Saccharomyces cerevisiae S288C: one gene and its partners. The gene in region 2 interacts genetically with the main gene of each other region. Each region holds a gene or a part of one and is shown on either strand. Other genes may lie near its edges. The genes, in order: ATG23, HOT13, EFM6 and SRL4.

What was found.
Region 1: mutations in HOT13 (region 2) and ATG23 together harm fitness more than expected from each alone (negative genetic interaction), as found in Saccharomyces cerevisiae (one large-scale study listed by BioGRID).
Region 3: mutations in HOT13 (region 2) and EFM6 together harm fitness more than expected from each alone (negative genetic interaction), as found in Saccharomyces cerevisiae (one large-scale study listed by BioGRID).
Region 4: mutations in HOT13 (region 2) and SRL4 together harm fitness more than expected from each alone (negative genetic interaction), as found in Saccharomyces cerevisiae (one large-scale study listed by BioGRID).

The regions. Positions count from the first base shown.
Region 1 is NC_001144.5:994,925-1,003,376, forward strand, and holds ATG23 (Atg23p), read right to left. Parts: upstream 6,780-8,452; coding exon 5,418-6,779; downstream 1-5,417. Other genes in the region: DNA/RNA helicase SEN1, read left to right, coding at 1-5,205; IMP dehydrogenase IMD3, read left to right, coding at 7,633-8,452. UniProt on the Saccharomyces cerevisiae protein: Required for cytoplasm to vacuole transport (Cvt) vesicle formation and efficient autophagy. Plays a role in ATG protein retrieval from the pre-autophagosomal structure (PAS) and is especially required for autophagy-dependent cycling of ATG9.
Region 2 is NC_001143.9:276,674-284,391, reverse strand, and holds HOT13 (Hot13p), read right to left. Parts: upstream 3,884-7,718; coding exon 3,533-3,883; downstream 1-3,532. Other genes in the region: TEF4 (translation elongation factor EF1B gamma), read right to left, coding at 1-970, 1,297-1,501; ribosome biosynthesis protein RRP14, read left to right, coding at 2,063-3,367; malate dehydrogenase MDH1, read right to left, coding at 4,265-5,269; SRX1 (sulfiredoxin), read right to left, coding at 5,728-6,111; cytochrome c1 heme lyase CYT2, read left to right, coding at 6,529-7,203; phosphopantothenoylcysteine decarboxylase complex subunit CAB3, read right to left, coding at 7,394-7,718. UniProt on the Saccharomyces cerevisiae protein: Required for the assembly or recycling of the small Tim proteins in the mitochondrial intermembrane, thereby participating in the import and insertion of multi-pass transmembrane proteins into the mitochondrial inner membrane.
Region 3 is NC_001146.8:584,133-592,066, reverse strand, and holds EFM6 (putative protein-lysine N-methyltransferase), read left to right. Parts: upstream 1-4,219; coding exon 4,220-4,960; downstream 4,961-7,934. Other genes in the region: rRNA (cytosine-C5-)-methyltransferase RCM1, read left to right, coding at 1-640; FAP1 (Fap1p), read left to right, coding at 907-3,804; KSH1 (Ksh1p), read left to right, coding at 5,247-5,465; cyclin-dependent protein serine/threonine kinase regulator SSN8, read left to right, coding at 6,776-7,747. UniProt on the Saccharomyces cerevisiae protein: S-adenosyl-L-methionine-dependent protein-lysine N-methyltransferase that methylates elongation factor 1-alpha (TEF1 and TEF2) at 'Lys-390'.
Region 4 is NC_001148.4:482,207-490,001, forward strand, and holds SRL4 (Srl4p), read right to left. Parts: upstream 6,002-7,795; coding exon 5,156-6,001; downstream 1-5,155. Other genes in the region: H(+)-exporting P2-type ATPase PMA2, read left to right, coding at 637-3,480; YPL034W (uncharacterized protein), read left to right, coding at 4,506-5,003; SVL3 (Svl3p), read right to left, coding at 6,681-7,795. UniProt on the Saccharomyces cerevisiae protein: May be involved in the regulation of dNTP production. Induces the SOS system when expressed in E.coli, therefore, it may play a role in DNA metabolism and/or in genome stability.

The DNA of each region.
Region 1 (8,452 bases), on a different chromosome or scaffold from region 2:
GAATTTGAAACAGTACTGTTGACTAAAACAGATTCTAGAGCTTTGCTCAACAATCCTTTGATCCAAGACATAATAATTAGATCAGCTTCGAATCCTAACGACTTTTATCCTGGGCTAGGTGCTGCTTCTGCATCGGTGGCCACATCCACGATGATGGTATTGGCAGAATGTATCGATTTTGATATACTGTTATTATGTCATCGAACGTTTAAGCTTTATTCAGGTAAACCAATTAGCGAAATTCCAATTTCAACCAACGTCTTGGAAAATGTTACAAATAAAATTGACCTGAGATCTTTTCATGACGGTCCATTGCTGGCCAAACAGCTGCTAGTATCTTTAAAAAATATTAATGGTCTTTTGATAGTACCGTCAAATACTGCCGTAGCTGAGGCACACAACGCATTGAATCAGAAGTTTTTGCTGCTATCAACGAGATTAATGGAAAAATTTGCGGATATTTTGCCCGGTCAACTGTCTAAAATCCTTGCGGATGAAGATGCATCGCAGGGTTTTTGGTCCTGCATATTCTCCTCTGATAAACACTTGTATCAAGCAGCTACTAATATTTTATACAATACATTTGACGTTGAGGGTAGACTGGAAGGTATCTTAGCGATTCTGAATAGTAATTTGACCGTTAACTTGAAGAATATAAACGTGATGCTACAAAGATTAATCAATTGTGAATTCTATGAGCCTTGCCCCCGTGCTGTTCGTGTTTTGATGGACGTAGTGAGTGCATTTGTAGACCCGATTTCTGGTGTGTTTGCTAATTTCCAAACTTTGAAGAGCCAAAATACCGAAAAGGAATTTTTAAAATTCTGGGAATCATGTTGGTTATTCTTGGATACGATTTATAAGTTTACTTTGAAATGGGCTTCTAAATATGACTATTCTGAACTGGAAAATTTCACCAAAGATACTTTAGATCTAAGTCGCTCTTTGGTGGACTCCTTTAGAGAATTTTCAGATATTCTTCATGACCAAACGAAAAATTTACTTCTCAACGTTTTAGAAACCTTTAAGAATATGTTGTATTGGCTGAGATTGAGCGACGAAGTACTTTTGGAATCTTGTGTTAGATTAATTATAAGCACGTCTGATTTAGCACATGAAAAGCATGTGAAAGTGGATGATTCCTTGGTAGAAATGATGGCCAAGTACGCCTCGAAGGCAAAGAGATTTTCAAATAAGTTGACGGAGCAACAGGCGAGTGAGATTCTACAAAAGGCTAAAATATTCAATAAAGCACTCACGGAAGAGGTCGCTACAGAAGCTGAAAACTACAGAAAAGAAAAGGAATTATCAAGACTTGGGAAGGTGATCGACTTAACGGATTCTGTGCCGGCGTCACCATCCCTCTCGCCCTCTCTGTCTTCAACCATTGCTAGTTCTTCTGCTGAATCCAGGGCAGACTATTTACAAAGAAAAGCTTTATCTTCTTCAATAACTGGGAGACCAAGAGTAGCTCAGCCTAAAATAACATCTTTTGGTACGTTCCAATCATCAGCTAATGCTAAACTGCATCGTACAAAACCTGTTAAGCCTTTATCCAAAATGGAATTAGCTAGGATGCAATTATTAAACAACAGAGTTGTTCATCCACCTAGTGCGCCAGCTTTCCATACAAAGAGTAGGGGTTTGTCTAACAAAAACGACGATAGCAGTAGTGAGGAGAGTGACAACGATATAGAAAGCGCTCGGGAGCTTTTTGCTATTGCTAAGGCAAAAGGCAAAGGAATACAAACTGTCGATATTAATGGTAAGGTTGTCAAGAGACAAACTGCGGCTGAATTGGCTAAACAGGAGTTAGAACATATGAGAAAGAGATTAAATGTTGATATGAACCCTCTATATGAAATCATATTGCAATGGGATTACACCAGAAATAGTGAATATCCTGATGATGAGCCTATTGGTAATTATTCTGACGTAAAGGATTTCTTCAACTCTCCTGCTGACTACCAAAAAGTCATGAAGCCTTTACTACTTCTAGAATCTTGGCAAGGTCTATGTTCTTCACGTGATAGAGAGGACTATAAACCTTTCAGTATTATTGTAGGAAATCGAACTGCTGTGTCAGATTTCTATGATGTGTATGCCTCTGTCGCTAAACAAGTCATACAGGATTGTGGTATTTCTGAATCTGACTTAATTGTAATGGCTTATTTACCCGATTTTCGACCAGACAAAAGGTTGTCCAGTGATGATTTCAAGAAAGCACAACATACATGTTTAGCAAAGGTGAGAACATTGAAAAATACCAAAGGTGGTAATGTTGATGTCACATTACGAATTCATAGAAATCATTCTTTCAGTAAATTTTTGACACTAAGATCAGAGATATATTGTGTGAAGGTTATGCAAATGACGACTATTGAAAGAGAGTATTCAACACTGGAAGGGCTGGAATACTATGACTTAGTTGGCCAAATTCTACAGGCTAAACCATCGCCTCCCGTAAATGTGGATGCGGCAGAAATTGAAACAGTTAAGAAAAGCTATAAGCTCAATACGTCGCAGGCTGAGGCCATCGTTAATTCGGTATCTAAAGAAGGTTTTTCTTTAATTCAGGGTCCACCTGGTACGGGTAAAACAAAGACTATACTGGGTATTATTGGTTACTTTTTGTCTACAAAGAATGCCTCATCTTCAAATGTCATCAAAGTGCCACTAGAAAAGAACTCATCGAATACTGAACAACTGTTAAAAAAGCAAAAAATTCTAATCTGTGCCCCCAGTAATGCCGCTGTGGACGAAATCTGCCTCAGACTGAAGAGTGGAGTGTATGACAAGCAGGGGCATCAATTTAAACCTCAATTGGTCCGTGTAGGTAGGTCAGACGTTGTAAACGTTGCAATTAAGGACCTTACTTTAGAAGAACTTGTGGATAAAAGGATAGGTGAAAGGAATTACGAAATCAGAACAGATCCGGAACTAGAACGTAAATTTAATAATGCTGTGACTAAAAGAAGAGAATTGAGAGGAAAATTAGACTCTGAGAGTGGTAATCCAGAAAGTCCAATGTCAACCGAAGATATCAGTAAATTACAACTTAAGATTAGGGAGCTAAGTAAAATAATCAATGAACTTGGCCGTGATAGGGACGAAATGCGTGAGAAGAATTCCGTAAATTATAGGAATAGGGATTTGGATAGAAGGAATGCACAGGCCCATATCTTGGCGGTTAGTGACATCATATGTTCGACTTTATCTGGTTCAGCCCATGATGTACTCGCAACAATGGGTATTAAATTTGATACGGTCATTATAGATGAAGCATGTCAATGTACCGAACTTTCTTCAATTATTCCTCTCAGGTATGGAGGGAAGCGTTGTATTATGGTTGGTGATCCTAACCAACTACCACCAACTGTTCTTTCAGGTGCAGCAAGCAATTTTAAATACAATCAGTCACTGTTCGTTAGAATGGAGAAAAATAGCTCCCCATACTTGCTGGATGTTCAATACCGTATGCATCCTTCCATCAGTAAATTCCCCTCTTCTGAATTTTATCAGGGACGACTAAAAGACGGCCCTGGTATGGATATCTTGAACAAAAGACCCTGGCACCAGCTTGAGCCATTAGCTCCCTACAAATTTTTTGACATCATTAGTGGTAGGCAAGAACAAAATGCGAAGACTATGTCTTATACAAATATGGAGGAAATACGTGTTGCCATTGAGTTAGTTGACTACCTTTTCAGAAAATTCGATAATAAAATTGATTTCACGGGAAAAATCGGTATAATTTCACCTTATAGAGAGCAAATGCAAAAAATGCGTAAAGAGTTTGCCCGCTATTTTGGAGGCATGATCAACAAATCAATCGATTTCAATACAATCGACGGTTTCCAAGGTCAAGAAAAAGAAATCATCTTGATATCGTGTGTCCGTGCCGATGATACGAAATCTAGTGTCGGTTTTTTAAAGGACTTTCGTCGTATGAATGTGGCTCTGACTAGAGCCAAGACAAGTATTTGGGTTTTGGGACATCAAAGGTCTCTGGCTAAAAGCAAGTTATGGAGAGATTTGATTGAAGATGCAAAAGATAGAAGTTGTCTTGCATATGCTTGCTCGGGTTTCCTGGATCCCAGAAATAATAGAGCTCAAAGTATTTTAAGAAAGTTCAATGTACCCGTACCATCAGAGCAAGAAGATGATTATAAGCTACCCATGGAATATATTACGCAAGGCCCCGATGAGGTAAAATCCAATAAGGACACAAAGAAGAGAAGAGTTGTCGATGAAGGTGAAGAGGCAGATAAAGCTGTAAAGAAAAAGAAGAAAGAGAAGAAGAAGGAAAAGAAAAAGTCCAAGGCAGATGATAAGAAAAAGAATAACAAGAAGGCAGAATCGCCCAGCACCTCATCTGGTACAAAGAAAAAGTCATCCATTTTTGGTGGAATGAGTGTACCGAGTGCCGTAGTTCCTAAAACTTTTCCTGATGTGGACAGCAACAAAAAGGCAGCAGCAGTTGTTGGTAAAAAGAAAAATAACAAACACGTTTGTTTTTCGGATGATGTTAGTTTCATACCAAGAAATGACGAACCTGAAATTAAAGTGACCAGAAGTTTATCCTCTGTATTGAAGGAAAAGCAGTTAGGTTTGAAGGAGACGAGAACAATTTCTCCGCCTGAAATCAGTAATAATGAGGATGATGATGACGAAGATGATTATACGCCGTCAATCTCCGATTCTTCATTAATGAAAAGTGAAGCAAATGGTCGTAACAACAGGGTGGCTTCTCATAACCAAAATTTCAGCGCTAGTATATACGACGATCCACAAGTTTCGCAAGCAAAGCAGACGCAGGTACCTGCTGCTATTACAAAACACAGAAGTTCAAATAGTGTTTTATCCGGTGGTTCTTCGAGGATCCTGACTGCTTCCGATTACGGTGAACCCAATCAAAATGGACAGAATGGAGCAAATAGGACCCTCTCTCAACATGTGGGTAATGCGAATCAATACTCAACGGCTCCTGTGGGTACAGGCGAACTGCATGAAACTCTGCCCGCCCATCCGCAAGACAGCTATCCTGCTGAGGCAGAAGATCCATATGATTTAAACCCCCATCCGCAACCACAATCTTCAGCATTCAAAGGACCTGGTAGTGGGCCCACAGGCACACGCAACAGTTCGAGACGGAATGCTTCATCTAGCCCATTTATCCCAAAAAAAAGAAAGCCTAGATCATGATCTTGAAGTAAAAGTGTTAGGAATTATACCTGCATATATATTGGTGTATACATTTATATTGAATTTAATAGCAACATTATTTTTCATTATTTTTCATTATTTCAGCAAAAAGAACATTTTTTTTCAATTTGACGTGAAAGAGTTTGACTATTACGTGGGCATACAATGTTTAAATTTACATTATCCTCATGGCTACTCTAGCTATTTGCATTTCATTCAACTTTTTTTGATATGGCATCATTTTTATTAGCGTTTACTACACTTTCAGAAATGCCAATCTTTGGTGGCGATTTGCTAGCAACCAAGAATGAGGGAGTCGAGGGCTGTTTTAAATTTGAACTCGCGTTCGACCCTTTATGGCTTTTGTGTATATCAATTGGTTTAGAAGGTAGTGCGCTTGACCCATCTTGTGCAGTGGTACTTTCGCTATGGAGTTCTTCACAAGCTTTCGAAAGTACGTCCCTTTCGTTTGATATTAAAGTTGTCGTGAGCTTTTCATCAGAAGAGTCAAGAAGGTTATTTAGGTACTGTATTGTAGAATTGATCATTTCTGACATTTCATTTGGAGGTATTTTGGAGTTGCTGCTGCTCCGAAGTTTGGTTATTAATTTGCTTTCCAAATCTCCTACTTTTTTTTGACAATCTAGCCATAATTCACGTTGCGTTAGTACTGTAGAAGACTCATTTTTATTTCTCATTAGTTGCTCTTGTAGATCTTCAATTTTCAGTTCTATGAGATCCTTCATATGAACAAAATTTTTCATGTTGATAGTTTGTCTCTCATTGTAATCTTCATCCGCGCTGGACAGCCTTAAATTGAATATCTTTTCTGATAGTGATTTTTCCTGTGTCAGGGGCGACTCGAATCCTATTCTTTTCATTAATTGATGCTTAGATTCCTCTATCTTGGACAAATGAAAATCAATATTACCCATTTCGGAACGTATCCGTCCAGATTGCCTTTTTAACTCCTCTTCAATGAATTTATTGTCCTTTTTGAAGTCTCTTAATAAAGTTTCCAGCCTTATTATTTCTGATTTAGCTTGCTTATGAGATAATTGTAACAGTTTGTAATTACGTATCATTTGATCCGCAGAAGATTCAGCGTTCTGTACTTCCTCGATCATTGCATCCGAATCATCCGTATTGGATAGTATTGTATTTTCTGCCCCCACTGACTCGATATATTTGTTTAGTGATGTCCGGTGGTGCGATGAAATGGTAATTATGGCGTCCTTATCGATAACATAGTCCGCCGGCGCAGCATCGGTTTCTTGCTTAATATGCCACGACTTCCGCTCTTTCCAAAGAAGCTGCTCTCTTTCGTTCAGTTCTAGTAGCTCTTGTTTGTCTCGAAGTAAGGACCCAATTTCTCTTTTCAATAGACCATCATGGGATACTAAGAGATCATTAATTCTGCATAGATCGTTTAAGCAAATAGTGATATCCTTCCGGATGCTTGTCACCTGGGAAGCCGAATTTACATCAGACAACGCTTTTTCGTGAAGCCCGACCAGAGTGCCTAAGTATTGCAGAATCTGCTCCTTTTTTTCTAAAACCTGATTCAGTTCCATATTTACTTCTTCACTTTATTTTGTTACCTTATAGAACAACGAGGTTAAAATGTGGAACAAGAAAACGAAAATAATCACTTGAACTAAAACGTACTCTATCCTTCACTTTTCCATTCCTTAGCCGGTTCTCCAATAGATATATACAGACGTTCTCTGTGTTCTATTATTTGTATATGATTTACACTATAAAAAGACTATCTATACCTTTTGTTAATTGCGCACCTAAACGCCAGAGCTTACGCCCTTAAATTTTTTGAACATATGCGCTGATACCCTACAAGTTGTCCTAGGGCTAGGATATCGGGAAAAAAGAGACAAGGGAACTTGAAAAACCATAATTCCCAATACATAAACCTGTTACTTGATGGCTAACAAGATGTACTTTTTTCCAGTGACCCAGTGGCTTCTTTAACCACTATTGTGTTCATTTCTAACTCTGGTTAATTACATAAATATTAGCCTTCAAAGCCGCACACGTTTCTTTTTCCGAAAAATGAAAAATTTTTCACTGAAAAAAAAAAAAAAAAAAAGAAGAAATAGAAAGGTATAAATAGTTGAATAATTTGCCCTTCCGAGATCCAACAAGATTTTTGAGTGTTGGGACCCTTGGAGGTTTACTCCAGTTTCGTGGGCTTGTGCATTTTCACCTAGTGTACTGGGAACTTTCTCTTTTTTACTCTATTTCTTTTCTTTCTTGCTTCTATATAACTTAACTTAGAAAGACTTTCTAAACTCGCAGAAAAGCACGTCATCTCATCTGTCTCACTTTTATTCTAAGGAAAAGAAGTCATCGACAGGTTAACAGCAGTAAATATTATCAGTGCAATTAATAACTCCGAAAGTAGTAAAAGCAATGGCCGCCGTTAGAGACTACAAGACTGCCTTGGAATTCGCCAAGAGCTTACCAAGACTAGATGGTTTGTCTGTCCAGGAGTTGATGGACTCCAAGACCAGAGGTGGGTTGACTTATAACGACTTTTTGGTTTTGCCAGGTCTGGTTGATTTCCCATCTTCTGAAGTTAGCCTACAAACTAAGTTGACAAGGAATATCACTTTGAACACCCCATTCGTTTCCTCTCCAATGGACACCGTGACAGAATCAGAAATGGCCATCTTCATGGCTTTGTTGGGTGGTATCGGTTTTATTCACCACAACTGTACCCCAGAGGACCAAGCTGACATGGTCAGAAGAGTCAAGAACTATGAAAATGGGTTTATTAACAACCCTATAGTGATTTCCCCAACTACTACTGTGGGTGAAGCTAAGAGTATGAAGGAAAGATTTGGATTTTCCGGTTTCCCCGTTACAGAAGATGGTAAAAGAAACGGAAAATTGATGGGTATCGTCACTTCTCGTGATATTCAGTTCGTTGAAGACAACTCTTTGCTTGTTCAAGATGTTATGACCAAAAACCCTGTCACCGGTGCACAAGGTATTACATTGTCTGAAGGTAATGAAATTTTAAAGAAGATTAAAAAGGGTAAGCTATTGATTGTTGACGACAATGGTAACTTAGTTTCTATGCTTTCCAGAACTGATTTAATGAAAAATCAGAACTATCCATTGGCTTCTAAATCTGCCACCACCAAGCAACTGTTATGTGGTGCTGCTATCGGTACTATCGATGCTGATAAGGAAAGGTTAAGACTATTAGTCGAAGCAGGTTTGGATG
Region 2 (7,718 bases):
CAAGCCCACATGTTGTTGACAAATTCTTTGTCTTCTTCCTTGGTTGGGTCCAACTTGGTGTATTCGTAAGATTCCCAGTCTGGAGCGACATCAAAGGCTGGAGCGAAATCTTGGCCTCTGACCATAACGGCACCAACAATACCATTATTGTTGTTTTCACCATAGACAACTAAACAACCGAACATGTACTTAGTAGAAGCGGACAATCTGTTGAAAAAACCACCGACCAAGTTGTTGGACATGAAAGTCAAGGTAAGTTCGTCGTTGTATTTGTAACCAACCTTCCAGATGGAGTATTCTTCAGGGTTGTAGTGTTCCCAGAACCATGGCAAAGCAACTGGTCTGGTGTCGTCGTTGGAGTACTTTCTCTTCCAGTCATCCAAGACAAATGTGGACTTTCCTAAAGCTTCCAATGGGTGCTTTGGCTTTTTAGCTGGAGCAGCATCATCTGCTGGCTTAGCTTCGTCCTTCTTCTTTTCAGCCTTTGACTTTTCGGCCTTTGGCTTTTCAGCCTTTTGCTTCTTTGGTGGAGTGTAGGTTAGAGCCTTTTCAGCCAATTTGACTTCAGCAAATGGAGTCTTCACGATTGGAGAAGCAGCAACAGTGTTGAACCATCTCATCAAATGAGGATGCTTAGCTCTCCATTCAGGGCCCAAAATAGTGGCCAAACCAAAAGCCCAAGAACCAGCGGCATGAAGGTCACCTAGAGAAATGTTTTCGGTAGCAACAAAGGTGTAGTCTCTCAATCTAGCATCGAAGACAGCAGCTAGGTTGTCGATTTTAACAAAACAAGCATCAACGTCTTTCTTGTTGTATGGAATCAAACCTTTGAAAGAAAGGAATGGACGAGCAATGTTGCTCATGACATCGGAATTAGCTAGAGATGCCCATCTAAGGATTTGAGACTTTTCGATAACGTCGGAACCTAATAAGCGAGCTCTTTCTTTTTCATCGGCAACTTGATTAGCCACTAAATATACATCATCTCGATGGTTATACAACCATTAATTGAAGAAATGTTAGTAAAACAATCCTTTATATTTTTTCCTGGATTAGGACACGCTTTGTACTTCCTTTTTGTTATTTTGACTTTCATTTTTCTTTAAGAAACATATCAGAAATACAAATATCAACATATGAGAGGTTACCTATTATTACCCATTCAGACAGGGATAACTGTTTGATAAAATTTTTTTTCATCATTATGTTTCGAAGAAAAATGACGTGCCAAATAAACGAACGGGAAACGCGCAAAACAATGTATGTGGAAGTGTTAAAATAAAATATGGAACATACAATAAAATTGGATAGCCAAAGCTTCAGTTAGCTTTAAGCCCTTTGGACCCAAAAATGCAGGGGCTTGCTTCAATGGGAACAAAGAAGCAAACTCGCTAGATTGTTCTAGATCAACGATCTTGACATCTAGTTTAAAGTAAGAAATCAAAGCTTCAGAAGCGTAGTTTCTTGGAGATCTATTAATGTATAAAGTACCTTGGGACATCTTGAATCTATCGAGGGCCAAAATCAAAGAATTGAGTTGGTATTAAGGATGGACACCAGTTTTGAACAAAATTAACGACGGAATGGATGAATTAAATATGAAAAAGAAAGTATTGCAAACTGTTGATGAAAAAAATTTTTCTTTCAATTTTGTCAGCAGCAGAGCGCATTACCCTGCCGGCCACATGCCGAATTAAATTAAATGAGGGCTGCTATTGCCAAATGTGATGGCTTGCCTACAGAGGTTAATTTCCCTTGTTTTGGGCTTCCTCTCTCAACACGATTGACACAAGCAATAGAGGCAAAGGTGTGTAATGAGTTCGTGTACCAATTAAAGTAAAGTAGAGTGGTTTAATTGGGATTACACGATTAAAAAGTTTCACCCAGACACCAAATTGAAAATTTTTTAAAATGAATTCTTTTTATTCTCATCTCCGGTAAAGAAAAGAGGAAAGTACAATAAAAGAGATGAGATGACCAAGAGATGAATAACAAGTGAGGACTGAGACGTTGTTGCAAGTGATAAAGAAAGTCCGGGAATTGAAAGATATAGGAGACTGAGATGAGTAATTCACTTGAGGAGCGCCTTCGTGCTAATTCAAGCGCCTTCGATGGTTTATTGGCTTTAATTCCTGCAAAATACTATTATGATGAAAAAAGTCAAGAGCAATGGAAGGCCAAGAAGAAAACCAAAGAACAGAGTAAAAATGATAAACTGAAAAAATTAGACCCGGAGCAACGTGATGATGAAACATCTAGTACATTAGAAGTAATGAAGAAGAAGGAGAAAGACGCAAAGCCGGTGGTCCTACCTGGTGAAAAATTCAAGCACATGAAAATGCAAAAGCAAAAGGAAGCAACATCAAAAGTGGAAGGAGACTCCGACCTGAACGTAGAAGTAAACGATCCTATGATAATAGCACCAGACGAAGATGAAGAAGAGGAAGAGGATATTAAGGTGATCTTTGATGATGAGGGAAATGAAATACCATTAGAATCTAAAAAAGATACTACAGAGCCCGATAGATCTGTCGAAAAGAAGTCTATTACAGAGGAAGAGAAACTACAAAGAAAGAAAAACTTGGAAGCACTACGTTCCAAGTTACAAGCGAAAATTTCAGATATGAAGAGTAAAAGGAAAGCACCCGGTTCTAGAGAGGCTATTCTTGCTCAAAGGAAACGCAAGGAAGAGTTGAAAAAAAGAAAGCGTCTAGAAAGTGAACAGGAACAGGATCAGGATGAAATTGCGTCTGATTCCGATATGGAAGACATCGATAGTGATTTAGAAAACAATTCGAAAAAAAGATTCAAAAAAGGCAAGAAGGACTCAGAAATTAACGCAGATGGTGTAATGTTTCAAAATATCATATTCGATGATGGTGCAAGGGCCACTTCAGATTTACAAAGGTTAAGAAAAGCTGGTAGAACGAAGGGTCCGGCTAAGAATGATGTAAAATCACACTTAAAGTTATTAGAAGCCAAGAAGAATAAGATGGAGGCGAAAGACGAACTAGAACAAATCAAGCAGAAGGAAAAGGAAAAATGGCAAAAGGCTATGTTACAAGCAGAAGGAATTAAGATTAGGGATGACGAAAAACTACTTCGCAAAGCTATAAAGAGAAAGGAAGCACAAAAGAGAAAGTCTGCGATTGAATGGAGCGAACGTAAGAGGGTTGTGGAAGACACGATATCTGAAAGACAAAAGAGAAGAGAAGAGAATCTGAGGATTAGGAAAGACAACAAGGGTAAAAAGAGAAATAAGCAAGAAAAGATGAAAAGAAAGTATGTCGGTAGTGCCGTACCAAAGAAAAGAGCCGGATTTGAGGGTAGATTAAAAACAGGTAAAAAGAAGGGAGGACCTAAATAATAATCACGATAATAATAACAACAATAATAGATATATATATATGTATGAACATATATATACAGATACATATATATATATATATATCTATATATATACCATCGCATTTTTTCCTTAACGAGAAGAGCACAGCAGAGCTTAAGATGGCATGCATTTATAGAACAACACTCAACACATAGCGGGGGGAGGGTTCTGGAAATACAAATGGTAGTGCAATTTACAGCCTGGATTAAAGGGGGATCTGCAATTGGGACAAATAAGGTTTGAATTGTAGTCGTAATACTCTGCAAACGTCATTTCATGACGGCAAACTCCGCAAATAATCAAGTGTTTATTTGCATCGTCAAGGAGATCATATTTTTCTAGCGGGTGAGAACTTAACTCTTGGTGGCATTCAAAGCACGCATAGTACTTATCACAACATTTAAACCTGATGGCAATTACATCCTTTGGAAGATGCCAGTGGACACATCGAGATTGGTCATCCACTGTCTTACCATAAATGGCAGTTTCGATCATCTATATTTGCAAATTGTAAGTGGTACGTATTTTTTTTTTTATATCATATATGTATATTTAAAGAAACTCGTAAACCGAAACGTTTATTCATCATTATCATCATCATCATCATTATCATCACCATCACACCGCGCGCGCCTATTTAATCATTTTTGTTTTTCCTCGTCTACGGAAGAAAAAAAGGTGTAGGAGCAACGAATAGCATGAATTTTTCTCTAGTTGATTTTTGGCAGTTTCCTTCCTTTCAATTGGCTAAATATAACAAAGAATTAAATAAAAAAGATGTCGTAATCTCATGATGGCGAGTAGTCTTCCGTTCTTATTAGTAGAATTTTTTTTTTTTTTTCCCTATTTTTCACTCTATTTCTGATCTTGAACAATCTATTTACTAGCAACAAAGTTGACACCCTTTTCGATATTCTTCTTCAAGGTTTCTTTACATTTTTGTAGCATTTCTTCTTCTTCTGAAGATAACTCACCTATTGGATGGATCTTTTCAATACCATCTGGGCCCAAAGTGACCGGAGATGCAAAGAATTCGATGCCTTCGGATTTGAACAAGGGAGAGTCCACGAAGGAAGGCTCGATGACGTCTCTTTCGCCTTTGAAACCGGACAAAACAGCGTTAGCGAATTTAGCACCAGCATGGGCCATTGACAACGTAGCAGAGCCAGCACCATTCTTTGCTTTGACGACTTCGTCACCACCAAACTGTATTCTGTGAATCAATTCGTGTCTCTTGTCATCAGACATCAACTTATGGTTTGTTTGCGAAATCAATGGGATGATGGTAATACCAGAATGTCCACCGATGACGTTAACCCTTTCCTGAGTTGGATCGGTGTTCTCGACTTCTGAGATGAATCTGGCGGCTCTAATAGAGTCCAAGGTAGTCACACCGAACAATTTCTTTGGGTTGTAAACACCCTTGTTTTTCAAGACTTGGGCGACAATTGGAACGGTAGAATTGACTGGGTTGGAAATGACCAGAATGGCAGCATTGGGAGCGGATTCGGCGGTTGCTGCTGCCAAATCGCGAACGATGCTTGCGTTGATGGCGAACAAGTCATCACGTGTCATACCAGGCTTTCTGGGCACACCAGCAGGAATTAAAACCATGTCTGTGTCCTTTAAAGCGTTGTTCAATCCGTCTGGCTCTTCTGGAGTAAACCCCTTGACCACGGAGTTTGTTGGAATATGAGACAAATCGGTGGCAACACCTTTTGCGCCCTTTAGGTCGTACAGTCTTAAGTCCGTGACTTTATGGTTAAGCTTTAGAAGCAAAGACAATGGTTGTCCAATACCACCGCCTGCACCCAAAACAGTCACTTTATAAGGGTTGGCAACTGTAGAGGAAAACGCACGTTTAGCTACTCTTGACAACATTGTATATGGTATCCTTCCTTTTCCTTTTGTTTTTTTTCTTCCTTTCCGTAGATGTCCACGTATAATATATTGTATATCTATATGTGTATTCGTTATCTTAAGTGGAGGAATACAGTACAAACACCCAATGCGTGCTAACACTTCTTTTTAAAGCGCAAGCTATATATATTGTAATATCCGCCATTGTATTATGGCAACTTTTTTTTGTATTTTTCTGGGAATCCGCTTGGCGCGTGATTGAGCCAATGAACGCTGAGTGAATGCCGAGAAGGGGGGGAGAAGCTGGCAGGAAGGCCCAACCGCCAGGTCCCTTGTACCTCTCCGGCGCCGAGGGTCGCACAAACTGCTAGTGCCTACTCTAGTTGTTGAATAAGAAATTGATTAATTAAATTGAGGGATTTTGTATTAGTGAATTATAATTTATCTATGTTTCTTATGTAGTGTTATTAGCGTAATCATTATTCGATGTCGAGACTGCTGCCCAGGTACATGCGGATTTGGCGGGGAGTGGCCGGTAGCACCCTGCAGCGCACGGGGAAGGCGGCGTTCTGCGTTTCGCGAGCCCGGCGGTCGTATGCCTGTAGACGGTGGCAGCCGCCGAAGGCATAATATAGCGTCTGTCCCTTGACTCGCACGCCCAGCACGTCCACGGGCGGCAGTTCCCCGGCTGAGGCAGCCGCCTCAGCCTGTTCTAGAGAGCATGTCTTGCTAGCGGTGGGAATGCCCTTCATTGTGGCCACCATTGCGTCGATCTTTTGAGGATCCAACACAGGCGCTAGGGGGCGTCTGATCTCTGAGAGAGGAATTTCTGTTGGTTTTACACTGTTGCTTTGTAGTGACATATTGTTCTTTTTTTACTTGGTTTTGTAGTTTTTTTTTTCAGTAAGAAAAGTATATATAGCTCATTGATGGTAGATATTGTGGTTTATATACAACACCTCTTGACATGTATTGCATCGCATCCTTACCCAACAGGGCTACTGTAATGACTAAAAATAATGGCGACTTCTGGGCCGGCCTTCTAAAAAAAAGGGACCCGCAACGGGTAACGGCATATTTTTTTCGAAATCAAAGTTCCAGCTTTTCGATGTTTGTAAGCCTTCTAAGACAGAAAGATGTAGTATAAATGATGTAGCTTACTAATCAGGGAAAAAGCAATCGCTAGTATTGCAGAGGCCAAAGGCTTAAGCATCACATTTCGGTAGTAGTAAATAGTTTGTTAGTTCACGTGCTTTTCATTCGTCTCTATTTTACATATTATGATGTCTTCAGACCAACAGGGGAAATGCCCCGTAGATGAGGAAACCAAAAAGTTATGGCTACGAGAACATGGCAACGAAGCGCATCCTGGTGCTACTGCCCCAGGCAATCAACTAGAGTGCTCTGCAAACCCACAAGATAACGATAAAACGCCTGAATATCACACCACGGTGGATCTCTCTCAGTCCAGAGAGGTTTCCACCATACCAAGGACGAATTCTGACAGAAACTGGATATACCCGTCGGAGAAACAATTTTACGAGGCAATGATGAAAAAAAATTGGGATCCGAACTCAGATGACATGAAGGTGGTTGTGCCTTTACATAACTCCATCAATGAGCGGGTTTGGAACTACATTAAAAGCTGGGAAGACAAGCAGGGTGGTGAAGCGTGTGGCGGTATCAAATTAACAAATTTTAAAGGTGATTCCAAAAAACTGACACCAAGGGCCTGGTTCAGGTCCCGTATCTTGCACCTGGCCAAACCTTTTGATAGACATGATTGGCAGATAGATAGATGCGGTAAAACCGTCGACTACGTAATCGATTTCTATTCCACCGATCTGAACGATGCAAACTCGCAGCAACAACCACTTATTTATCTCGATGTTAGACCAAAATTAAACAGTTTTGAGGGCTTTAGATTACGGTTCTGGAAATCTTTAGGCTTTTGAATTACTACAACTATTCCTGTAAATAAAAACATACCCTCCCTAGTTTCCACATACATATTTATTTAATCTTATTTAGGCACTCAATTTAGAAACTAGGGAATGAAAAAGCAGTAATCTTCTTTTAAGGAATAAACAAAAAAAAAAAAAATAAAACATAAAACATAACACAAAATACTCTTTTCTAATGCATTTAAACTTCGGTTTTCACGTCTTCCTCATCCTCTTCGTCTTCCTCGTCATTGCTCTCATCGGATGCTGTTTCATTTAGAGCTTCTTCCTCCTCCTCGTCCTCCTCATCCTCTTCGTCATCCTCATCATCGTCGTCCTCATTGTCAGCACCCTCTTGTTCTTCTTGTTCTTGCTCTTTATCACCAGTTTCCTCGTCCCTAGCTTTCCGTATTTCATTGATTCTCCTCCTAACGATCTCTACAATATCTGTCCATTCTCTCATACCACCCATACCAATATCTCCGCATATTAATACCTTTTCCACCGGTTTCAAAACTTGGATGAAC
Region 3 (7,934 bases), on a different chromosome or scaffold from region 2:
TTTCGAGAAGGATCCTGAAAGAGCAAAAGTTTTACAAAAAATGATCAAGATAGCTGGCTGTTCTCCCAACATCAGTGTCAATGTAGGTGATTTTACAAAGCTCGCTACTCCTGAAAAATATAAGGACGTTACTTGTTTTATTGTAGATCCGAGCTGCTCCGGTAGCGGTATATTTGGTCGTAAGTTTTTTGACTCATTTAATAGAAGGAAAATTGATGATAAAGATGACGATGGTGGCATTGTGCCGGATGAGCAAGAGGAGTTTATAGCAAAGGAAGAACTACAGACAAGGTTAGCGAAGCTGAGTTCATTTCAGTTCCAGATGGTAAAGCATGCAATGAGTTTCCCAGCGGCTAAAAAAATAGTATACAGCACATGTTCCATTCATGCGGAAGAAAATGAACGAGTCGTCATAGACCTTCTTTTAGATAAGTCAGTTAGAGAATGGGGTTGGAAAGTAGCGCCAAAAAGAGAAGTTATTCCTTCTTGGCCTAGAAGAGGCAAGGTAGAAGAGTTCGAAGAGGTTTTTAGAGATGGAGTCACCTATGACCCTCAACAGCTTGCCGAGGGTTGTATCAGGGCACTACCAAAAAGTGACGGTGGTATTGGTTTCTTTGCTGTCTGTTTTGAAAGAGATTAAACTTTCAGAACATTCATGTATATATGTGTATATCTGATATGTATTATTGCATTTTTGCTGTAGTACTACGGAAAAGACATTTCAATAATCTATACATCCCGCACATAAAGGAAGATTTTCGGGTAATATACTATTATAAAAATTATCGATGAGCTCTGTGAAAAGGTCGTAAATATAAAAGTTCTTTCTTGCGACAGTGGCAACAACCAAGTGAAACAGCGTGAGACGAGACTGCTCTAATCTATTTGCAGTCGTAGGCATTACAAATGACCGAACATGAGTCTTTAGGCCTGGAGCAAAATCAAGACGGCGGTGACACTTATAGACATCACAACCTAAGCGATGGGTGTATTTCGAGTGTTGAAGACGCCAACGAGCAGCCTAGTTCGTATGAAGAGGAAAGTGATGATGATATGCAATATTACGAACGTGCGATCCAGGAAATTTCTAGCGGTGACTCATATGTTTGTATGATTTGTACAGTAGAGATGGATTATACGTGCCAAATGTTTGCTTGCAAGAGATGTTATAGAGTGTTTGATTACGGATGCATAAGAGAATGGGCGTTAAAATCAACGGAAAAAACCGTAGATAGAATATGGAAATGTCCAAACTGCTATTATGTTAGCAAAAGAGTTCCGGTAAAAAATCGGCCCACATGTTGGTGCGGTAAAGTTGTTAATCCTGATCCGAATCCGCTGGATCCTAACTCATGTGGACAAACCTGCAATGCTTCTACTTGTATGCATGGTTGTTCCAAAATTTGTCATCTAGGGCCGCATCCAGAGTGTACTAGAATGGTCGAGATTATGTGCCACTGTGGTAAGCATTCGAAAAGTATCTTTTGTTACCAGTCTAAAGTTATGAAAAAAAACTTCAACTGTCAAGAAGTATGTGGATTGCCTTTATCTTGCTCCATCCACACCTGTAAAAAGAAATGCCACCCTGGCTTATGTGGGCCATGTCCAGAAATGATAATTAGTAAAGATAGTCCGAAAAAGCAAATAAAATGCTACTGTGGTAACCACACTCGTGCTAACATAAAGTGTAGTGAAACAAAGTTTCCCAAGTCCGGTAAGTCGTCGAAGGATGAAAATGGGAACAGGTGGATAGGCGTGTTTGCCTGTGCAGATAATAGAGTTGTCGACTACTCATGTCGCAAGCATTCATTCATAGAATCTTGCATAAGCCCACCCACAATTAATGGAGAAAAGGCATGCCCATTTTTGCCTAGCTCTTTGAAAACTTGTCCCTGTGGCCGGACAGCCCTAGAGGAACTGACTAAGCCTCGTAAGCATTGTGATGATCCGATACCAACCTGCGACTCAAGATGCGGTAAACCACTAAAATGTGGCAAACATTCGTGCCCCTTCACTTGTCATGATAAAGCCTGTATGGAACCCTGCTTGCAAATTGATAGTGTAAAATGTGCTTGTGAGCAAAGTACATTTTCAGTTCCATGTGGATTTCAAGGAAGGCCTCGCTGCAATATTAAATGCGAATCCCTGATGTCATGCCGTAGACATAGATGCACCGATAGGTGCTGCAGTGGTAGGCCATCGGCGATAAGAAGGAAGAAAAACTTGTTCAGAACGCAAGATTTGTTGGATGAGTCTCTTGTGGAAGCAAAACATATCTGCCTAAAACCGTGTAACTTGACCCTATCATGTGGAATTCATAAATGTCAGAGAAAATGTCACCCAGGAAAGTGTCCGCCCTGTTTAGAGAGTGATTCGAACGATCTGGTCTGCCCATGTGGCAATACAGTTGTTCCTGCACCCGTGCGTTGTGGCACGAAGCTACCTACATGTAATCATCCATGTATTAAAGTTGTGCGTGGCGAATCTACGTGTGGTCATAAACCAATGCCACATACCTGTCATTCCTTGGATGTGTCGTGCCCGCCATGTACGGAAACCGTATTTAAACCTTGTAAATGTGGGAAGAAAACTAAAGTGAGAACGGTTTGTTTTCAAACAGACGTATCATGTGGAATAAAATGTGGGATACCACTCTCTTACTGTTATCATACCTGCCAAAAAACATGTCATTTACCAGGAAATTGCCAAAAGGTGTGTAAACAGACCTGTGGGCAAAAAAGGCTCAATTGTAATCATGAATGTCCTAAACCGTGCCATGGTAAGACAGAGTGTCCCGATTTACCTTGTGCCACGCTAGTGAAAATTTATTGTAAATGTGGAAGGATCAAAAAAAGTGTTACTTGTGGCGCAAAAAGTGATAGAGTAAGTGTAACTGAATCTTCCGTGCTGGATTGCAATGAAGAATGTGAAGCTTTGAAACGACTAAAGGAATTGAAGGAGGCATTTGGAATTAAGGAAGAAACCAATAATTTTACAAGTAATGAACTAGATGCGTTAAAAAAACTGGTCTCTGTTGCTACAACATTTGAAGAACTGCAGTTACCGTTTACAGAGGCAGCATTATCAGTATATTCAAAGCAAGAAAGATGGTGTTCACAAATTGAAGCTATTCTTAATAAATTAATGGACGATAAAACACGTTCAAGCTTGCATTTCAAACCTATGAGGCCTCCTCAACGCCACTTCATCCGTGAACTAGCCAAAGCTTACGGCCTATATTCCGAGTCTCAGGACAGAGAGCCCATGAGATCTGTATTTATTAAGAAAGAAGATAATGGCGCAAGCAATAAACCAGTCTTATCATTAGCAGAAGCTTACCCACTATATGAATCATTTAAACAATTGCAGAAGGAAAGGAAAGCACAAGAATTTCAAGCTCGCACCACAGCTAAACTAATCAACTTCGAGGTTCAAGATACGGAACCTAAAGTAGAGGTGGCTAAGAAAAATGGTTTTTTGGTTCAAAATTTGGTTGCTGGAAATACTGCCGAAGATCTAAGGAGATTTTTTGAACCACATCTCAAGCATACGTTAGTAGTGAATCCTCAATACCTAATCCTTGATGATGGCAAAACAGCACTAGTGTATCCTGAAAATTACGAAACAGCATCCGTGAATACCGAACGTGACATGGAGCTTTTGGTTGGACACTTCGATTTTATGGCCAAAGAGGCATTTTTGGCCGATTCCATTTCGTTGTGTTCAACTGAAGAAGAACTTGAAAGAAGGTTGGATACGCCCGTAATTCAAGAGGATAGTCCTGTAATGGATAATAATACATGAACTATAATAGCGTGTCATTATTTATTACGCGGAATTCTAATTAAATAGAAATATCTAACTTTTATTTTTTTTCATCCTATCTCATTTCTTGTTTCTCCCTGTCGTTGCTAAAATACGAGGATCTGCATATGTTTACATATCAACGTTCCCGTAAACGAATGGAGAATACTGAGTGTCACGTTAATAATACGGATATTATAATTTGGAAACCTAGTCAAGTAAAACCAGAAGAGATTTTTCTTTTCTCTTAAGCTTTTTTGGCTTGACCAAACGAAAAGTCCCTCACACCCAAACACTGAAAGTAATTCTTCGTATTTAAATAATTCAAAAGTTATGATGAGCAGGCTCTATGTAAAAAAATGGCCCATAATTTTCCCTAGAACGTTATAAAAACGCGACTAGTGAGGTATTGAGTATGGAGAGTATATTTGGTGGGTTTGGAGATCTAGTTGTTCCTAGGCCAAAGGAGCATCTCGGTCAAACAGACCTTTCCTTCGGTGGAAAATTATTGCCTGCATTGAAAATTTGTGAAGATGGCGGTGAAAGTGGTTGTGGCGGTAAAGTCTGGATCGCTGGCGAACTGTTGTGCGAGTACATACTCGAGAAATCAGTTGACCATCTGCTAAGTAAGACGGTCAATGGTACGAAACAATTTAAAAAAGTCTTAGAATTGGGTAGTGGTACAGGTTTAGTTGGATTGTGCGTGGGGTTGTTGGAAAAAAACACATTCCACGATGGCACTAAAGTATATGTTACGGACATTGACAAGTTGATACCACTATTGAAAAGAAATATAGAACTGGACGAAGTTCAGTATGAAGTTCTTGCGAGGGAACTTTGGTGGGGTGAGCCGCTGTCGGCAGATTTCTCACCTCAAGAAGGTGCTATGCAAGCAAATAACGTTGATCTAGTTTTGGCAGCTGATTGTGTGTATCTCGAGGAAGCTTTTCCATTACTAGAAAAAACACTACTTGATCTCACTCACTGCATAAACCCACCTGTAATCTTGATGGCTTACAAGAAGAGAAGAAAAGCTGATAAACATTTTTTCAACAAGATTAAAAGAAATTTTGACGTTCTTGAAATTACAGATTTTAGTAAATTTGAACATTATCTTAAGGAAAGAACCCACTTGTTTCAGCTTATCAGGAAGTAACCTGACACAGTGAATTTATCTCTTAATGATCCTGATCTTATTATATTTAGTAATGAACTTTTCGATAGACATTTGTAATTCATGAAAAAACGATATAACATTCATTTTTGTAGTGTGGTGTACGCATGGTGGGACTGCTCTTCTTGAGCGAAATTTTGATCTTCAATAGAGTGAGCAACGACAACTCAAGGATAAAGACAGAACAGCGGTAAACATCGTTTGCAAAATAACTAGAGAGCCGGATCGATTTACTTTGCAAAGTTGCGTCCTTTTTCCACGACAGAATATGTCTGCATTATTTAATTTTCGTTCTCTTCTGCAAGTGATATTGTTACTGATTTGTTCATGTTCTTATGTTCATGGGCAGTGGCCGTCTCTCCTAGATCGTTACAAAAATCATGAGGTTTTGGGGGCCTTCTGGAAAATGGCACGTGTTGGTGAAAGGGCCAGTCCATATGTTAGTTTAGCATGTATTTTGATGGCCATCAGTCAATTTAACAGCTGATTGGAAGATACTTAGTCATATGGATTTAAAGTTACGCAAATCAAGGTCATAGAAGGTGCAGTACCTTTTAAAACAAAGAGTATAAGTGGATTCAGACGAAGTGTCTCTTTAATTCTATCGTCTGATAGCGTACAAGTAAGGGTGCTATGAGCTAGCACGCACAGCAAAAATATAAACACTTTTGTATTTTTTTTTATTTTATAGTGTTTTGTGTTGAGTATTCATCTATTCGACCTCTATAGAGATTTAAGAAGGGAATTCATTGTCACAATAAGGACGCATAGTTGTTCATTTTAGACATCATTTACAGCACTTCCGTAAACTACCCCATATTGCGATTGAATACTACCGAAAAGGCTCAAGAATTTACGTGGTGCCCAATCAATTATATAGAATGAGGAACAATGGTAAGTAATGAATAATCATGGTCAGTAATAAAAAAGCAATCTCGTCCATGTTTCTTTTTGAAACTCAGAGCTTGACTCTGTTGCATTGGTATTTCATCATTTGATGAATTATTCACTATTCCATCTTCTTCTTACACAAGTTTACCAATAAATAACTCATCTGAGTTATTCAGACTTTTTATTAGATCAGTTCGGCATATTTAACTATGCAAAAGTTTTACACTGCTAAAAAGTAGTGTAAACAACAAACTGTTAAAAAAATAAAAAGGGGTGAATCCATGGACCAAGAATAGTAAGCTCCATTGGGTTACTCGATCCAGCACGGGAAAGAGCAATCGTCATAACTATGGTTTAGATTCCATACAAACGGAATCCAGTACCGAAGAAAACACCAGTACCCTGCAATAGAGGTACCAGGTCAAGAAGCAGAATACCCAAGGGCATCCTCCTTAATGAGTTGATTTAAACAATTTAAAATTTTTAAATCTCATTACGTTTTCCGCATACGAATTGGTGGGAGACTTTCAACCCAAAGCATATTACTGAGTAAAAAAAATTTTACTCCATTTTGTAAGCTTCGATTTGTGACGATTCTTTGGTCATGGATTGAAGAACTTTAAACGAGAAGAAATTAGAAAACAGGTGAAGACCACTATTTAGTTCTTTACCGCAACATAGGATAAACAAAGTTATTTTCTTACTCCTTTATATATTTGAAAAAATATAAAATCCACGGAAAAACATCGAAAATTCATTTTTCATGAAGGAAAATTAGGGTTCATACAGGAGTAGAGTTCATTGATGTGGTAGCAACCTTGTTAGCACTCATATTGTTCGAACAAAAAATGCCCTCTCAAACTTTAGTTGAAGAGCGATAAGGCATCTGAATCTCAAAAGTTAGACATGTCGGGGAGCTTCTGGACATCTACACAAAGGCATCATTGGCAATATACCAAGGCATCATTGGCTAAAGAGAGGCAGAAGTTATGGCTATTGGAGTGCCAGCTGTTTCCTCAAGGTTTGAATATTGTAATGGATTCGAAGCAAAACGGCATCGAACAATCCATCACAAAGAATATACCAATAACTCACCGAGACTTACACTATGATAAAGATTATAATCTAAGGATCTACTGCTATTTCCTGATAATGAAGCTTGGAAGGAGACTAAATATAAGACAGTATGCACTGGCTACAGCACATATTTATCTATCAAGGTTTTTAATAAAGGCTTCAGTTAGAGAAATAAACCTATATATGCTGGTTACTACGTGTGTATATTTAGCATGCAAAGTTGAAGAATGCCCGCAATATATCAGAACTTTGGTAAGTGAAGCCCGTACCTTATGGCCCGAATTTATTCCTCCTGACCCTACTAAAGTTACTGAGTTTGAGTTCTACTTACTAGAAGAATTGGAAAGTTACTTAATTGTCCACCACCCTTATCAATCCTTAAAGCAAATTGTTCAAGTCTTAAAGCAACCGCCATTTCAAATAACACTATCGTCAGATGATCTACAAAACTGTTGGTCCTTAATCAACGACAGTTATATAAATGATGTTCATTTGCTTTACCCTCCTCATATTATCGCTGTTGCATGTTTATTCATTACGATTTCCATTCATGGGAAACCAACCAAAGGATCATCGTTAGCATCTGCGGCTTCTGAAGCCATCAGAGATCCTAAAAATTCTAGTTCTCCTGTTCAAATAGCTTTTAATCGTTTTATGGCAGAATCTCTTGTAGATCTTGAGGAGGTTATGGATACGATTCAAGAGCAAATTACATTATACGATCATTGGGACAAGTACCACGAACAATGGATAAAGTTTCTGCTACATACTTTGTATCTTAGACCAGCATCTGCAATTTAATCATGCGAAGAATAAATTTAAAAACCGTTAAGCCTGTAAATTCAATCATTATGGTGGTGATGATCCGTTTTGGAAATGTTTCGTCCTTGACTACCTTTGTTTAACATGATATTGGAACGTCAAGACATATTGAGAATAGGTACCGTTATAATGCATAATTAAAAATTGCTTTGATATTGAGGTGGAA
Region 4 (7,795 bases), on a different chromosome or scaffold from region 2:
CCTTGGATCAGAAGTGAACATATGAAGTTGCAACTACTACATACTTACTACCGTAGTCCATCATCAAGGACCCAAACATTCACGACTCCAGCGCGCCACGTTCTTCGCCATACTGCTTAACATTTTGGTACGAGTGCGAATTAGGGAAGTCGATGATAAAATAGAATATGCGAAAAAGAGGAAGAGCAGCCGTGAGAAAAAAGAAAAAAAAAGGCCTAAGGTATTCTCTACTCCAAAATCGTCGAGGGAGGGCAAAAGAAATTTTTTTTGTTTAAGGGAATTGCGAAGTCAATTGATTGATGAAGTAGCTTCTCTGGAAAAATGGCGGACAGACGCTGCTCAAATAACCGTCGAAGGGGGAAAGGTTATCGGTGGAAACATATTTGTAAGTACATAATAGTGAATTTACTTCTTGTCGGCGTCCCCTAAACGTAATTGGCGGTGTGATGGTACTTCGTTATATAAAGGTGTGTAATATCCTCTTTTACCATCTATTATTTCTTCCAGCATTTCTTGCTGGATAACCTACTGTATCCAAGCTACTGGGCTTTTTTAAACATACCCATAACTTTTTTTTTTTCATTTTTCGTTGCTGTGTGCTAGTACAATTTAAGCAAAAGGAAACTGTTTTGCGTTATGTCTTCCACTGAAGCAAAGCAATACAAGGAGAAACCCTCGAAAGAGTACCTCCATGCCAGTGATGGCGATGACCCTGCAAATAATTCTGCCGCTTCTTCGTCATCTTCGTCTTCTACATCAACTTCCGCCTCGTCATCGGCTGCAGCCGTTCCACGGAAGGCCGCAGCCGCTTCTGCCGCTGATGATTCTGACTCAGATGAAGATATAGACCAATTGATTGATGAACTACAATCTAACTACGGTGAGGGTGATGAATCTGGTGAAGAAGAAGTACGTACTGATGGGGTGCACGCTGGCCAAAGGGTTGTTCCTGAAAAGGACCTTTCTACGGACCCTGCGTATGGTTTGACTTCGGATGAAGTCGCCAGGAGAAGAAAGAAATATGGGTTAAATCAAATGGCTGAGGAGAATGAATCGTTGATTGTGAAGTTTTTGATGTTCTTCGTAGGGCCTATTCAATTCGTTATGGAGGCTGCTGCTATTTTGGCTGCCGGTTTGTCTGATTGGGTTGATGTCGGTGTCATCTGTGCTTTACTGCTATTAAACGCATCTGTCGGATTTATTCAAGAATTCCAGGCAGGTTCCATCGTAGACGAGCTGAAAAAGACGTTGGCCAATACTGCAACAGTTATTAGAGATGGCCAATTGATCGAAATTCCGGCTAATGAGGTAGTTCCTGGTGAGATTTTGCAATTGGAAAGTGGCACAATTGCTCCCGCAGATGGTCGTATTGTCACTGAAGACTGTTTTTTGCAGATCGATCAATCGGCCATCACTGGTGAATCCTTAGCCGCTGAAAAGCATTACGGTGATGAGGTGTTCTCCTCATCCACTGTGAAAACCGGCGAGGCTTTTATGGTTGTTACTGCCACTGGTGACAATACCTTCGTCGGTAGGGCTGCCGCCTTAGTGGGGCAGGCTTCCGGTGTAGAGGGCCATTTCACTGAAGTATTGAATGGAATTGGTATTATCTTACTTGTTCTAGTTATCGCTACTTTGTTGTTGGTCTGGACCGCATGTTTCTATAGAACGGTCGGTATTGTAAGCATTTTGAGATATACTTTGGGTATAACCATCATTGGTGTCCCAGTCGGTTTGCCAGCAGTTGTTACCACGACCATGGCTGTCGGTGCAGCTTACTTGGCTAAGAAGCAAGCCATTGTTCAAAAGTTATCTGCTATTGAATCCCTTGCTGGTGTTGAGATTTTATGTTCTGACAAGACTGGTACTTTAACCAAAAACAAGTTATCTTTACACGAACCCTACACTGTCGAAGGCGTTTCTCCGGACGACTTGATGTTGACCGCTTGTTTAGCTGCCTCTAGAAAGAAGAAAGGTTTGGATGCTATTGATAAGGCTTTTTTGAAGTCATTGATTGAGTATCCAAAAGCTAAAGACGCCCTGACCAAGTACAAAGTTTTGGAATTCCATCCGTTCGACCCTGTCTCAAAAAAGGTTACCGCTGTTGTAGAATCCCCAGAAGGTGAAAGAATTGTTTGTGTCAAGGGAGCCCCATTGTTTGTCTTGAAGACTGTTGAAGAAGATCACCCAATTCCGGAAGATGTGCATGAAAACTACGAAAATAAGGTTGCTGAACTAGCTTCTAGAGGTTTCCGTGCTTTAGGTGTTGCTAGAAAGAGAGGGGAAGGTCACTGGGAAATCTTGGGTGTTATGCCATGTATGGACCCCCCTAGAGATGACACCGCTCAAACAATCAATGAGGCCAGAAACCTTGGTTTGAGAATCAAGATGTTAACCGGTGACGCTGTTGGTATCGCGAAAGAAACGTGTAGGCAATTAGGACTTGGTACAAACATTTATAACGCAGAAAGGTTAGGTCTGGGAGGTGGAGGTGATATGCCTGGTTCAGAGTTGGCTGATTTTGTTGAAAATGCCGATGGTTTCGCAGAAGTTTTCCCACAGCATAAATACAGAGTCGTTGAAATCTTGCAAAACAGAGGTTACTTGGTTGCTATGACTGGTGATGGTGTTAACGATGCCCCATCTTTGAAGAAGGCTGATACTGGTATTGCTGTCGAAGGTGCTACCGATGCTGCCAGATCAGCCGCTGATATTGTTTTCTTGGCCCCTGGTCTCTCTGCTATTATTGATGCCTTAAAGACTTCTAGACAGATTTTCCACAGAATGTACTCCTATGTTGTTTATCGTATTGCCCTATCCTTACATTTGGAGATTTTCCTGGGTTTATGGATTGCTATTTTAAACAACTCTTTGGATATCAATTTGATCGTTTTTATTGCTATTTTCGCAGACGTTGCCACTTTAACTATTGCTTATGACAATGCTCCTTATGCTCCTGAACCTGTGAAATGGAACCTACCAAGATTATGGGGTATGTCTATTATTTTGGGCATAGTTTTAGCTATAGGTTCTTGGATTACTTTAACCACCATGTTCTTGCCTAATGGTGGTATTATCCAAAATTTTGGTGCCATGAATGGTGTCATGTTCCTGCAGATTTCACTAACTGAAAATTGGTTAATTTTTGTCACTAGAGCTGCTGGCCCATTCTGGTCTTCCATTCCATCGTGGCAGTTAGCCGGTGCCGTTTTCGCCGTTGATATTATTGCTACCATGTTTACCTTATTTGGCTGGTGGTCTGAAAACTGGACTGATATTGTGTCAGTCGTTCGTGTCTGGATTTGGTCCATTGGTATTTTTTGTGTATTGGGAGGATTTTACTATATTATGTCCACGTCTCAAGCCTTTGATAGGTTGATGAATGGTAAGTCATTAAAGGAAAAGAAGTCTACAAGAAGTGTCGAAGATTTCATGGCTGCTATGCAAAGAGTTTCTACTCAACACGAAAAAAGCAGTTAGTAATTTTAAACATCATCCATCTGATTTTTTTTCTTATTGATCTCCTTTTTGTTATTCCTCATTTTCATTTCAATTTGTCGATACCAAGGAAGCCAAGACGTTATAAAAGAACACGGTCAACAAAAATCAAATTAATGCCTCTTCAATTGTGCTCTGTTTGATACCTTCGATATGATGTTACAGTTTTAAAGTTTACACACAAGTTTTTAGACTAAGTGGCATCATATCTGTCAATTTTATCACACACACACACACACACACACACAAACAAACATATCCACATATCAGAAGTAGGCCGATCTTTTGCTTGATTGGATGCAAATTCATATGGAAAATTTTTTTCATATTATTTCGTGTTCTTTTGACTATTTTCCTCTCCAAAAAGGAAGAATCATTCCAATAACAACACACGAATTCCCATCCAACATGGTGAAATGACTAAATATTTTTTTTTTCGAAACATTAAATCAATCTAATTCTTAATTTTTAATAAACATATAATGCACACTTATTTACATACAAGCACATTGCACGTATTATATCAGTTTCTTCTTTTATGTTGATATATTTTTCTAATAATGTTATTATCATGTAGTCGTGTATGTGCGCCTCTCCCGCGAGAAGTCCAACACCATAAGAAATCAAATGTCAAGAGAAATAAAGAATTGTTTCCCATCATAGATAAGACTATATCAGAAAAGTGCTCATCAAAGCTAAATCTATTATGAGATGTCTTAGGCATAACAAAAAAGGGAGAGCGGTGCAAGATAAACATACCGTCGGATAAAAAGTACTGTCATTATCATCAGTGGCAAGATGCAAGGTACACACGGGCACCAAGAGATAATGCGCAAAATAAACCGGGTTTTATTTACATCTATACATACAGTAACCTCTTTGAATCATACATATCTGAAAAGACGGTAGATTTAAAATGGCTATTTATTGATGAGTCAATAGTTCGGACTAATGGTAAAAAGAAGAGACAATGGGTAGACAGAGACTTTATTCTATGTAAGATAGGAATGACCACTCGAAAAACAGTAGATTCAAGACTTTTAGAATGGCAAACCACATGCAAGCATCCAGTGATAAACTTGACTCCAGAGAAAGTCGATAAATTATACCACTTGAAATTGAAAAGTGAAAGCAAAAATATCAGTTCAAACAGGCTATTGCCCATTTCATTATCAAGCTTACAAAAAAAAATGGAGAAACTTTTCATCAAAGATAAAAGTCACTCACACAAGCCTTCCCTTCCAGATCCTAAGGTGCCAACCCTACGCACTTATAAAGATGGTGGATTTTTCATTAGCGGAAAAGGTTCAATGAAACTACCAGATATCGAAAGCGCTATTCATAAATTTTTATGGAAGAAATACGGGAAAGGATTGGTTTACTGTTATGGGTGTGATCCAACTGGAAAAAAGAGGCATACAGAGTGGTTCAATGTGCCTGTATTGGAGCTACCATCAGTACTAAGACTTATTGATTCTTATTGCCTTGGAGGAGAATCTCGTTAGACTTAAAAAAAATTTTTTGGCCTATTCTGGCCGGTTTATTCAAATTATTTATCATCATAAAAATTGTAGTGTTACCTTTCTTTTCCTTGAATTATTTATAGAAATATATGTGCTTAGCAATTTTATCACTGTTACTTCGATTTGTAGTACCCTTAAGTAAAAGAGCTTTTGAAACCAGTTATCAAAAGAATATCACCAATTGATCTTTTGCTTTCGAGAATTGTATCACCATATCTTCCCTCAAGTAGACAGTGGACGAGATGTTTCGAGATACTCGGGGAAAGTCTCTTCCAATGTGCTTCACTTTCAAAACTGGGTAAATATGCAATCAGCGTTTTTACATTCAAATTACTATCTTTCAATTTAAGCTCTGAGGTTATTCCATCGTGGAAAGAGTTTATACCACATTTCGATGTAATAAAATGTGTTCCTGATTTGCACGGTTTTAACGTCAATACCGATGATATGTTGACAATATAGAACCCCTTTGCTTTTTCTTGAGCTTCAGCTTGAACCTTTGGAAAAATGTTACTCAAGCAGAACTTAGTTATCAATATTACACTTTGTAAATTATACCTCACGATTTTCTCGAATTCATTTAAAGACTCTTCATCAAGTCTCAAAAATTTGTCTTCTTTGAGAAGAGTCGATTCGATTCCCTCCTGCATGTTGTTAATGAGCACTGTAGGAATTATTTCTAAATTTTGAAGGTAAAGCATGGATTCCTCAAGACATTTTATGTCACTGAAATCTTTGCAAGAAATAAAAGTATACAGTTTTTCACTTCTCCTTGCGTTTTTTCCATTAATACTGTCTATAGTGTCAATATTTATAACCTTTGTATGATAATCTTCTATAAATGTCTCGCAGAGCTCGATGCCTAACTCATTTGAAGAACCGCCAATAATTAATACTGTATCGTGGCTAGGATGGAACTTTTTACCTAAACCGACATATTGATAAAAACTTACGAGGACTTTGTAAATTGTTTTCTTCATGTCAGATTTTTGGGCTCTATTACTAGTGGACCTGTGCTTCGGACATACGCAGTTTTTCTGTGGTTTCTTTATACGTCACAAATCTGTATTATTATTGAGTCACTAATTCAAATGCGTGTGACAATATAGCGACGGGGCCGTGCAAAAATAAGAGATACTGCACTTGCGCGGCTGATAGAGATTTCTTTCTTTCTACGCTGGGATAGTTTTCTTAGAAGGTTTTAGCTATTCTAATTAAAATGTTGTTCCCACCAGTATTTATTGGCACCTTGGACAATTTTAAAAATCACTGCTAAAACGGTGCTATGACACGATTTTCTGGTACTAAAACGTGTTTTATGAAATTAACAGTATATACAAAAAGTAAAAGGTATGGATAGTTAAATATGTGTAAAGCTATAATACAAAGAAATAACACAAGATAGTTGAGTTTATTTGGTCAAACTAAAAAGAGGAAATAATTATAGTGAATAATTCCAGATTTTGTTAAACACCAATTCAAACAAACTGAAAACAGGGAGAAACCAACCCAAAAAATAAAATAGATTCAGTGATAACCCAATTCTACCGCAAAAAAAAACTAAAAAAATAAATAATAGAAAATTAACAGATACAAAAACGAAAAAACAAACTGTTTACAAAACATTTACATGCGTGTTCATTAAGCTGTCGAAGGATATTATTTCTTTGATTTATTTTTTTTTTTGAATAGGCCAAATCTCTTCTTCTTACCACCATTTTTCTCCTCATTGTCACCATTATCGGTACTAGGCGAAGCCATATTCGCCATTTGACTTGATGAGGACAAGGTTGGAGTGCTTGGGGCTGAAACAGAGGTTGTAGGAGGGGGTGCAATATTTTTGGGATCGTTTATATCCACAGTGCTACTTGTATTGTTGTTTGTATTTGTAAATTGCATTGCGTTATGAACTACCGAGTTGGTGGAAATATCAGGGTTGCTACTACTGTTATTAACTTTGTTGTTATTATTTGTAACTTCTATCATGGTACTGGAGCTAAATTGCCTTTGTGTGGGAACGTGATTGTTTAAACTAGGAGCAGGGACTTGGTTAAAAGTATTGTTTGGGTTGGTGGCATGTGGCATATTCAGTTTGTTTTTCGATTGTTGTGATCTCAATCTATTCTGGTTTACGATGCTATGCGTTGGCATGGAATTTAAGCGAGTTTGACTTGAATTGTTCGGTGGTCTGCCAAAATCACTCATATTTATACTGGAAGGATTACCAATATTAGGCATATTACTATTTCTATTCTTCCTACTTGTGGGCTTGATAGAGTGTGAGTGAAAAGGTTGTACTTGTACCGATTGTTGTGGCTGCTGTAGGGGTAAGGAAGGAGGTTGTTGCGGGTCATATGCAGCGATACTTGAAGAAATTGGGTCTACAAAATTTCCGGCGGATGCAGGTTGAGACATAGCGCCATTGGTGCCATGCATTCCTCTGCTGTTAGAACGAACGTTTGCAGACTGCTGTAATTGAGGGAAGGAAGGCTTTCTTGGAATTGAATTATTGCTATTATTAAATCTTTGTTGCTGTAATGCTCTTTTCTGGAACTCCAGTTCACGTTCTTGTAGCTCTAATTCCTTTTTACGGAGTTGCAATTCGCGTTCTTGTAGTAATTTGTCATTCGTGCCATTATTCTCTCCGAAAGTTTGTGAATGTGAGGATAATGGTGAGTTCATTTGTGGCTGAGAGCTTACAACAGGTGGTGGAGATCTCACTGGAGAGTCTCCGTAGTTTACACTATATAGTGCCATATCTTCGATGTCCCTCA